2 linked regions of the Arabidopsis thaliana genome follow. The protein of the gene in region 1 interacts with the protein of each later gene in a biochemical or structural test. Each region holds a gene or a part of one and is shown in the gene's direction. Other genes may lie near its edges.

Evidence for each region.
Region 2: the proteins of RBK1 (region 1) and ARAC5 form a complex in vitro, tested with the Arabidopsis thaliana proteins (one study listed by BioGRID).

The regions. Positions count from the first base shown.
Region 1 is NC_003076.8:3,319,193-3,324,920, reverse strand, and holds RBK1 (ROP binding protein kinases 1), read left to right. Parts: upstream 1-2,010; 5' UTR 2,011-2,271; coding exon 2,272-2,284; intron 2,285-2,434; coding exon 2,435-2,887; intron 2,888-2,965; coding exon 2,966-3,223; intron 3,224-3,312; coding exon 3,313-3,467; intron 3,468-3,563; coding exon 3,564-3,643; intron 3,644-3,728; coding exon 3,729-3,867; coding exon of another isoform or gene 3,868-3,894; exon of another isoform or gene 3,895-3,952; coding exon 3,953-4,102; intron 4,103-4,181; coding exon 4,182-4,337; 3' UTR 4,338-4,912; downstream 4,913-5,728. Other genes in the region: AIL6 (AINTEGUMENTA-like 6), read right to left, coding at 4,913-5,463, 5,549-5,676.
Region 2 is NC_003070.9:28,473,689-28,478,302, forward strand, and holds ARAC5 (RAC-like GTP binding protein 5), read left to right. Parts: upstream 1-1,960; 5' UTR 1,961-2,275; coding exon 2,276-2,374; intron 2,375-2,742; coding exon 2,743-2,830; intron 2,831-2,917; coding exon 2,918-3,027; intron 3,028-3,139; coding exon 3,140-3,203; intron 3,204-3,285; coding exon 3,286-3,350; intron 3,351-3,428; coding exon 3,429-3,494; intron 3,495-3,590; coding exon 3,591-3,689; 3' UTR 3,690-4,114; downstream 4,115-4,614. Other genes in the region: VPS35B (VPS35 homolog B), read right to left, coding at 4,365-4,575. UniProt on the Arabidopsis thaliana protein: Involved in cell polarity control during the actin-dependent tip growth of root hairs, thus regulating root hair length and root hair initiation.

The DNA.
Region 1 (5,728 bases):
GTGCGTGTGTGTGTTTCACTGTTTGTACTCGGTCCTTGTGCTAAAAAATGACAAGGTCTTATTTTCAGTTTTTCTGGTGTCTCGACTCTTTTGGGCTGGGCTAATGGGCTTATAAAACTTTTTTTGATAAAAGGATACAAAATAAACGCGTCAGGTAGGGGTCGAACCTACGACCTTCTGCTTAGGAAACAGACGCTCTATCCACTGAGCTACAGACGCTTCTTTGGGAGTTAGAATCATAATATTAATAATGAAGAATAAATGTCAATAGCATTGAGCCATTGAGAAAATCGGTTGAACTGACTTCTCTAACTGAAAATTCACATTGGTGAGTTTGGTGGCGATTTAATTTTTGGGCGTATATTATTTTTTAGAAAATTAAGATAGAAATTAATGGTTGTGGTAGTATATATTAACGGGTTTAGTTCACCAACTAACACAATTAATCTTCCCTACTTACACTGCGATCGTTTGTTTTTATCTAGTTCTAAATTACTAGAACTAGTTTACTTCAGACAACAAACTTTATAAGTAGAAAACCGAGTCATTGTAGATTATTATATTTGTAATTTACTTAATGATGTTACCATGAAAACTATAAGTAGTATATATAAGAATTTTCTTTTGCGTATGGACTATATACGTCTGAGAAACAAAACCTAACTGTTACTAATGGAGTTTCAATGTAATGAATTGAGTTTGGACTTTGGCGTTTTGAGATAGACAAGTACTAAACATTTCACTTGGGTTTGTCTCACGGAAAGGTGGTTGATTTTAATGCCTTCGGGTGATAACTCTTTTTTTTTTCTCCACGCCTTAGGTGATGGTAAACTCATAAAGTCATTTTAATCCTCGAAAATTAAGGATCTATCCACGCCTCATATTATAAAGTAAGATTTGTGTTTATTATGGCATCCCATATGGCCATTGGTGCAAGTTTGAGGTGGGTCCAAATTGTCACGCATGAAAAATTGACAATGGTTACGTTGAGAAAGAAAACTACTAAAATAGTAGTATAGTTTATTCGTAAACCAAAACAATTGTAGCCATCATTACGAATGGATAGCTCTTGTTATTAACTTTCAAATAACAGGGATTATGTAGTAGAAACTTGTTTTTTTGTATTAGTATTATGGCTCGAAAGTGATAGTATTTGTGAATACAAATATTCTAGTAATAGTTGAATATTAAAAAATCATATCAATGATACGATGGCTTAATTTTGTAGTCAAATTTGTCTGCCATATGTTTCCTCTCTTTATGCCGCCACGAAAAAATTGAAAATATAAAGAAGAAGAAACAGACAGCACACTCACAATTTGTCGAATTTTTAACTAATGATTTTGTCAACTTCTATAAGTGCAAATCCATATTTTTTATTCCTTGGTTATAGAATTTTATTTAACTTTTACTAATTTTCGTTGTTTTAATAATTTTAAATCATACTAGCAAAAAATGTCATCCAAAATTAACTAAAACCTAATGTTCCGACACTTTCAATCTCATTCTACATGTAAACAAAAAGCTCAAAAATGTAAGAAAAAAATAACAAGGTTTGCTAAATTAGAAGAGCTATTTAATATCACATGCGCTATTTAATTTTCTTTTTTAATCACGAATCACGAATTAGCTATTTTGCGGAGAATAGAATTTGAGTGAAATATAATCATAACAAAATCCCTTTAATATTAACTCTCAATTCATTACAAGCAAAGGTGATGTCTTATTTTATATGACGAAAATGCCCACAAACCAGCCAGATATATCAACCGTTTGAGTTCTTTACATCGTAAATGCGTTAGTTACGGCAACAATCTCTAATCCTTTCATCTTCCTCAAAATTATTAAAATCATAGGACTACTAATTTAGAAACAAGAAATTACAAAAAACAAAACAAGAAAAACAAAACTTGACTTGACTTGCAGTTGAAAGTAAAAAATAAAAACAAAAGTTGAATTGCTACGGTGGAGTTGTATAAATATAGCAGAGATTCCAATCCATCTCCACTCAGCAAAAGCTGACTCTTCTTCTAACTTTCTATTTCTTCCAAGAATAACAAACTTTTTTCTCATAAGAAACAAAACAAGAATTCTACAAAACTTCTCATTAAACCTCTGTTTTCTTGTTTCTCTTCTGCTCTGTATTTTCGATAATTCTCTCTGTTTTGTATCCTTTCTTATTTTCTGTGAATCTGTTTTTTTATGGAAATTTAATTCAAAGGCTTATTAGAGGAAGAAAGAAAGAAAAAGAAAAAAAAACCCACTGGAGCTATGGCTGTTGAAGGTAAACCTAAACATAAAATTTGTTTGCTTTTTGTTAAGAAAGTGGGGGAAAAAAATAAAATCATTGATGCAAATTTATTTTCTGGGTTTATGAAAATTTACGCAGACATGTTATAGAACTGACTTTTTGTATTCCTTGTAACATTAACAGATAACAAGAACAGTGAAAGCAAAAATCATCAAGAGGTAGAGCTTCATAGGAACGACTTAGGCCTCGAAGATTCATCATCGCCAAGAGGTGTTCTCGGAATGGTTTCAGATTCCGACAACAGCAGCAGTAGTTGCAGCTCTTGTTCCTCTGATGATAAATCATCATCAACATCGTCACCATTTTCAAATACTACTAAAACCGTTTCGTCTTCTCACCATGGTCTTCAATGGAACAAAATGATTGAATCTATCAAGAAGAAGTCCATGAGACGATTCTCTGTCATTCCTCTTCTTGCAAGTTACGAACTCACCCGTAAAAACTTGCGTCGTAAGCAACCTAAGCTAACTCCCTCTGAGAGTGCTTTCACCTGTGAAGCCTTCTTTATGGCTAAACCCTCTTGGAGAAACTTCACTTACGAAGAGCTCGCTGTAGCCACCGATTATTTCAATCCTGGTATACACAAAAACGCAAACCCTTCTTCAATAGATTTTGGATTGAGAAATTTGAGTTTTGGTTTTGTTTTTTTGTTAGAGAACATGATTGGTAAGGGAGGACATGCGGAGGTATACAAAGGGGTTTTGATTAATGGTGAGACGGTGGCGATTAAGAAGCTGATGAGTCACGCCAAGGAAGAAGAAGAAAGAGTGAGCGATTTCCTTTCAGAGCTCGGTATAATCGCACATGTAAACCACCCAAACGCAGCTAGGCTTCGCGGTTTCAGCAGTGATCGCGGTTTGCATTTTGTTCTTGAGTACGCTCCCTATGGCAGCCTCGCTTCTATGCTTTTTGGTATACTTAAAAGTCTCCTTCTTACTGAAAATCTTGTGTCTAGTACTTTTTTCTACAATGTTGTGATATTGTCTCTTTGATCTTTGTAGGATCAGAGGAATGTCTAGAGTGGAAGATAAGGTATAAAGTGGCTCTAGGTATAGCTGATGGTCTGAGTTATCTTCATAATGCTTGTCCAAGAAGGATCATTCACCGTGACATCAAAGCTTCTAACATATTGCTCAACCACGATTACGAAGCTCAGGTAAATGATCTTGACAAATGACAACATCTCTAAACATTTTCTTGGTATTTGGTTGGTTTGAGAACCATTTACATATTGTACATTTTCTCAATTCAGATTTCAGATTTCGGACTTGCAAAATGGCTCCCAGAGAACTGGCCTCACCATGTTGTATTCCCCATTGAAGGAACATTCGGGTAAAAGAGAGAAAGCTTTGTAACTATCCATGAACAGCTTTGCTGATCAAAACTATAGGTTTCATTGGGTTTTTTCTCCCTTTAGATATCTAGCTCCAGAGTATTTCATGCACGGCATTGTTGATGAGAAGATTGATGTGTTTGCCTTTGGAGTATTGCTTCTAGAGATCATAACCAGTCGCCGAGCTGTTGATACAGCAAGCAGGCAGAGCATTGTTGCATGGGTAAATGCATCAGTGACTCTTTATTGAGACTCATCAAAAGTTCAGCTTGAGATCTTTTGTTTACCTTATTGATTTGGTTATACAGGCAAAACCTTTTCTTGAGAAAAATAGCATGGAGGACATTGTGGATCCTCGGCTAGGAAATATGTTTAATCCAACAGAGATGCAACGAGTGATGCTAACAGCTTCAATGTGTGTACATCATATTGCCGCAATGCGACCTGACATGACTCGGGTATAGTACCTATTCTTCCCATGTTCATAGAGCCAAAACAGATCTTTGGTATCGGTTTTGATGTGAATTCTTTGTGCAGTTGGTGCAGCTGTTACGTGGAGAAGACGGACCAGCTGAGCTACAGCAGAAGGCAGGTGAAAGAACAATGAGCGTGAACGCTTGTGATCTACAAGATCACACCTCTTCCTCATACCTCAACGAACTCCGCCGCCATAGGCAACTCTTAATGGAGTGAGTAGAAGCAATAACATCAACTTAAAGAACTGTTTATCAACCTCTTTCTTTTTAGATTTTTATTTTCTTGACTTGAGTTTTGCTTGTTATTCTCCATTGGTTGCTTTTTTTTCTTGTCCAACCAAACTGTGAATATCTTCAACTTGTGTCTCTCTGTTGCTTCTACTGAACTTTGTTAGTCTCAACCTCTCGGTAGAGTTGTCAATTTGTTACCAATGAGCTCACAAGTAGATAGATATCAAACAAATAGCAACACAGAACTTTCTGAAGATAATTTTTTCATAAATGGAAACAGAGTACACTGCGGATAAGCTGATAGCCTTATACATACAAGATACAAAAGAAACCATCCCCCCTAATTCCCAAAAACTACCATTTTTCTCCACCGAGTTTAGGTTTAATACATTCTTCCACATTTCCAACCCCCAACTACTCCTGCCTAAACAACAACAGTTAATCAAAAACAAAAGTGAGATTTTTAAGATTCTTCTAGTCAGCTTATGTGTTAGCCAGAATCAAGAAGTTGTGTCTCTTATAACGATAAAAACTTGACTCAATCAACTTATATGATTGGTTTTAGTAAGACTGATTAGGCCAGAGGAAGAACTCAGCCGGATTTGGTGCCATAAGTCCCATTGTTCCCTGAACGTTGGAGTTGTTGTTAGACCCGGTCGAGTCAGAAGCTGCATTCGCCGGAAAATGCTGGAAGAAGTTCTGTTGCTGCTGCTGCTGTTGGTGTTGCTGTTGTTGTTGGTGGTGGTGGTAAAGAGCAGCTGCTTCAAAAGGGATTCCACAAGGAATGATCTGTTGAGACTGAACTGCTGAATTAGGACAGAGAGCGAAGTTAATGCTACTGTGATTAGGAGATGACTGAAGCTGAAGCTGTTGTTGTTGTTGTTGTTGCTGGAAATGGTGAAGTTGATGATGACCGAGGATTGGTTTCTGCTCTGATGAAGCAGCAGCTTCCAAAGAGAGCTTAAGACGTTTAGCTGCACCACCGATGGGAAGTGCACTCTTCATGATGGCTTCAACGTCGTAACGGTTCATCTCAAAGTTAGTTACAGCGTTTATTCCTCTGAATTTGATTGCTGCTATGTCATACGCTTCAGCTGCTTCCTCTTCCGTTGCTACAACAACAACACCAGGACTAACTAATTAACCACAGACAATGATTGTTAAATTAGCTAGACCAAGTTTGAAGATTTTACATACCAAAGGTTCCAAGGTAAAGATCTTTGTTCCCAGCAACTCGGCCAATCCTTGCTTGCCAACGTCCTTGTTGATGATGCCTTGTAACACCTCGGTATATCGAAGCTCCTCTAGAGAAACCGCTACTCTTCCTGTGTTATATCAGTTTTTAAACTCTGGTTACCATCAAAGAAACATAATATA
Region 2 (4,614 bases), on another chromosome or scaffold:
TCTATATTGCATATATGGGCCCAATGTCTCAAGTCTCAACCATGTTTTAAATTTTCAGTACTAAGCAATGCATATGTTTTTGTTAGACACAATTTTTCTTCTTTTTTTGATAAAATGTGAGTTTTTTTTTTTTTTTGAAATGTGATTAATTACCAAAATGGAAACATTGTTACTTGCAAAAATCTTTGGGACAAATAGCTTCTAAGACAATTTGTTTTTTAAAAAGCCTCAGAAACTAATAAACGCAAAGATTACAAATAGAGAACTATTACGAGCTAGGCATGGGAAAACCATTGAGAGAGCAGTCACCGCGGCCTTTGCGGTACCTTCGAGCCAGGAGAGTGTCTCTAATTAATGTGCTCCTGTCGATTTGCTTAAAGACAGAGGCAAATCTGTTATGGAGACTGTTTGTACTTGTCAAACTATGGGCCATCAGTCGACCGCAGCCATTGTTAGACACAATTAACTATGTGCGCCATCTATTATGGAGACTGTTTCCACTTGTCAAACTTTAGCACTATGCCTTTAAAGCTTTAACAAATGTTGAATGACTGAGAAACCGACAAACTTTAGTCTACTACATCTTATCTATATACTAATTACGCAACAAAAAAATAAAAAAAAATTGGATAATGTTTTAAAACATAACATATTTTACTCTTCTTCTATGACAGATGAATTACTACATTCCAAAATAAACAAGTAAAAACTCTTGTTTCGTGGATAAGCATGCACTAGGCAGTCAATTCATTTGGAGTCTCACCAAACCAAGTACCCCATGGGCCCTGGTGGCAAAAATGGTCACTAATCATGATATTTCAAGAGTTGTCATAATGGGCCTTAATTCGCTACTGGGCCTCAAGTGTGAGCCTTCGTGTTATTGTCTTTTCTAGCTTCCAGTTGTGTTAGTGTGTTTGTGCCTTTGTGTTATGGCCCTTATGGCACTCCATATTGTCACTTGAATCACTAATGTAAAGTTTATTCATTTTCAAATAAGTCGCTTTAAATAGAAGCACTAGATTTCATGATCAATCATTATCAAATTTCTTATAAAAAAAATCATAAAGCCTGAAATTCATTTCATGTAAGAATCAGAATGAATGGGTAAAGGTGTTTTTGGTTGAGAGTAGGTAGAAGCGTAGAGCTAACTCTAACCCCTTCTTTAGTTTGGTATGATTGAATATTAGTTCATATAAATATAATTGGTGAAATTTTGATGTGTCCTTGGTCCTTTAGAAGCAAACTGTAATAATGCGACCGTATGATTTGGATAAATCTAATGTGGGACAATTCATGATGTGTCGTATGCTCATTGGTAGGTTGAAAGAGAGTTGAGCACGTTCGTGTAAGATTTTTCGATTCTTATGTCGTAAAGATGAAGAAAACTCTTTAAAATTACAACTATAAAAACAAAGACAAAGACACTCTTGACAAAATTAAACCATATTAATTTGATAAGGGATTTGAGAAAAAGGAATGAAATGGTGCCGTAACACTAAGTCGCACGTTCTTGACGAGAGTCGTCCCAATCCAATGATTAATATTTGGCAATTTCATGCCCTCCCTCCCCATAGTTTGGTCGTTTATTATGCTTTACTCTTAGTTTTTTTTCTTAAAAATTATAATCTTTATTTATTTGCTGTCTTTTTTTTTTATAATTGTCAATTAGGTTAACAACTATGGTCAAATTAGAAAACATTAGTTTTTGTTAAAAGAAAATTAAAAAAAAAATCCATGTTTATTAGTGAATTAGGTTTTTATTTTGGTGGTAGTTTAGCTAATCTCATAAAACAGATAGTAATTTCATAATGTAAAAAGATATTTCTACTATACAGAAAAGGAAAAGAAAAAAAAAAACTCATTACAACGGATAATTTCTCAATTTGTATTCAAATTCAAAATTAAAAGTGCTCAAAATTAGTATTATTTAAAAGAAATACTAAAGTGGGGTGAGTGTAAATGATAAGGTGTTGTTTGGTGTAGCAAATAGCTGGCATAAGGTTGGTATTGAAAAGCTCATCTCAGAATCATCAACGGCCCAAAACACATTGCAAATTAAAGAAAAAGCAAAGATTTTCCTCATTCTTTTGCCATTATTATCTCTCATCGATTTGGCTTGCTACTTTTGAATTTACCCGTGTTCTACTACGATTCGGGATTAGGGTTTTTTCTTGAGTTAGAAAAGATTGTTTCTTGATTCTTGGGAATGGCTGGGATTTGAGGAAGAAGAAGTGCAAAAGGGTTCTTTTTTTGAGTTTGTGAATTTGCTGCGGAGATGAGTGCTTCGAGGTTTATAAAGTGTGTCACCGTCGGCGATGGTGCCGTCGGAAAAACTTGTATGCTGATTTCTTACACAAGCAACACTTTCCCTACGGTAAAGTTTCTTCCTTTTGCTCTCAGTAGTGATCTTGAAGCATTCTTTGAAAATGGGTTTTTGGAGATTATTCATCTTTGTTCTTGAATGTGATTGATTAGCTGGTAAAAATTGTAAAAATCAATTCTTGACATGTTTCTTCAGAACTTTTATTGATGCTTCCATGGATTTAGCTTCTTTGTTATTTATCTTTACCTATGAGCATTGTTCTTCTTTCATTTTGGACTTCATGTTCAATTTGTATGTATTAGTCAAATTTGCAGATATGAGGATCTATAATCTTTTCCATTATTGTGTGTGTTAATGATGATCCACTATTGTGTGTGTTTTAGTTTAACAAACTCTATGACTTGGTTACTGAATATCAGGACTATGTTCCAACTGTTTTCGACAACTTCAGTGCTAATGTGGTTGTAGATGGGAACACGGTGAATCTTGGATTGTGGGATACAGCTGGTAAATAATCCTTTTGAAACTCATCAAATCTGGTTTTCTTGTTTTTTTGTGGTTTCATTTTGACTGATAATTCTTGGGTTTGTGCAGGTCAAGAAGACTATAACAGGTTAAGACCGTTGAGTTACCGTGGTGCCGATGTCTTCATTCTTGCATTCTCGCTTATTAGCAAAGCTAGCTACGAGAATGTAGCCAAGAAGGTTAGCTTTTTGTTGATCTAACGTCTTTCATTTGATAGTAATAACTTTCGTTAAGCTGATTTTGAATTGGTTCCTTCATTTGCTTTTTTTTTTTTTTTTTTCTTTATTTCAGTGGATTCCTGAGCTTAGGCATTATGCCCCTGGTGTTCCTATAATCCTCGTTGGAACGAAACTCGGTATTGACTCTCTTCTTGTCTAAAAACTCTTTCCTTATAATAAGAAAGAGATGAATAATAATTCAAGTTTTGGAATTTGCAGATCTTCGAGATGACAAGCAATTCTTCATAGACCATCCTGGTGCAGTGCCTATTACTACAAACCAGGTACATAACTCCACAATTCTTTAAAACAATAGTGTTTTTTGCTTTGCGAGTTCTTGATCTTTAGTTGTTTGTCTGCAGGGAGAGGAACTAAAGAAACTGATAGGATCACCAATCTACATTGAATGTAGTTCAAAGACTCAGCAGGTATACTACACACATAAATAATATCTCACATGTCTTTTTGTTTGGGATTTTTGTATTTGGTAAGACAGTGAAAATGTTGATTGTTGGGTTTTGCAGAATGTGAAAGCAGTCTTTGACGCAGCCATAAAAGTGGTGCTTCAGCCACCGAAACAGAAGAAGAAGAAAAAGAACAAGAACCGCTGCGTGTTCTTGTGATCGAACATCTCTTAAAACGAAAAAAGGTTTAGGTAACAAAAGAAGCTGAAGGAAAACGAACACCTGCAACATTGTATAGTTGTTGAATCCGGCTTGTTTCGGTCTTTACTCTTCTTTTTGCTGGTGAATCTAATGAGTGAACTGAGGCCAAGAGGAGGATTCTGGGTAAGAGAAGGGGATGTGTTCTTTTCTTGGTGTGTTGTTGTTGTTGTTGTACTTTTGCTATGTAGACTAATCTCTTAATACTATGTTGTCTTTGTTTTTGCTGTTGGGGTCCATTTTGTATTTTCTTTAACAGAAATCTTAATTAATTTTTTAGTGACTTTTTTTAAGCTTCCGTTGATCTTATGGTCTTGTATTGGTATGTAATTAGATTCAGACAACGAAGAACATCTTGAGATAGATCTCTATATACAATAAGATTAGAGACATCGTTGAATTGAGGCATAGTTTCAAAGAATGGTTTACAGAAACGAGGATTCTATACACACAGGTGAGGTGAGTATAAGGAACAAAGAAAATAACAATTACAAAGGTTTTCTCCATTTTGTAATAAGACCGAAAAGAAAACAAACATGTGTAGTGTACACTTCCTTTTCAGAGTTTCCAACATTTCTTTGGAAAATACAGAGAATTCCTCTCGGGATTTGATGAGGCTTGTGTCTCGGATTTAAGTCACAGCTTGATAGGGTCATATTTCTCACCCATCAAACCACCTTTCTGTTTTATGAACTTAATGTAACGCAATGTACTTGTAAAGAAGGGATCTGAGTGGATTGTCGTGTTACCGTTGTCGCTTTGCATCTCATTGTTGATCAATTCTATGAGGCTCTGTATATCAGATGGAGTGATATGTGGATTCCCTTTCTCAAAGAAGTAAATGTACCTGTTGTATATGAAAAAAACATTTTTAGTATTGAGATGC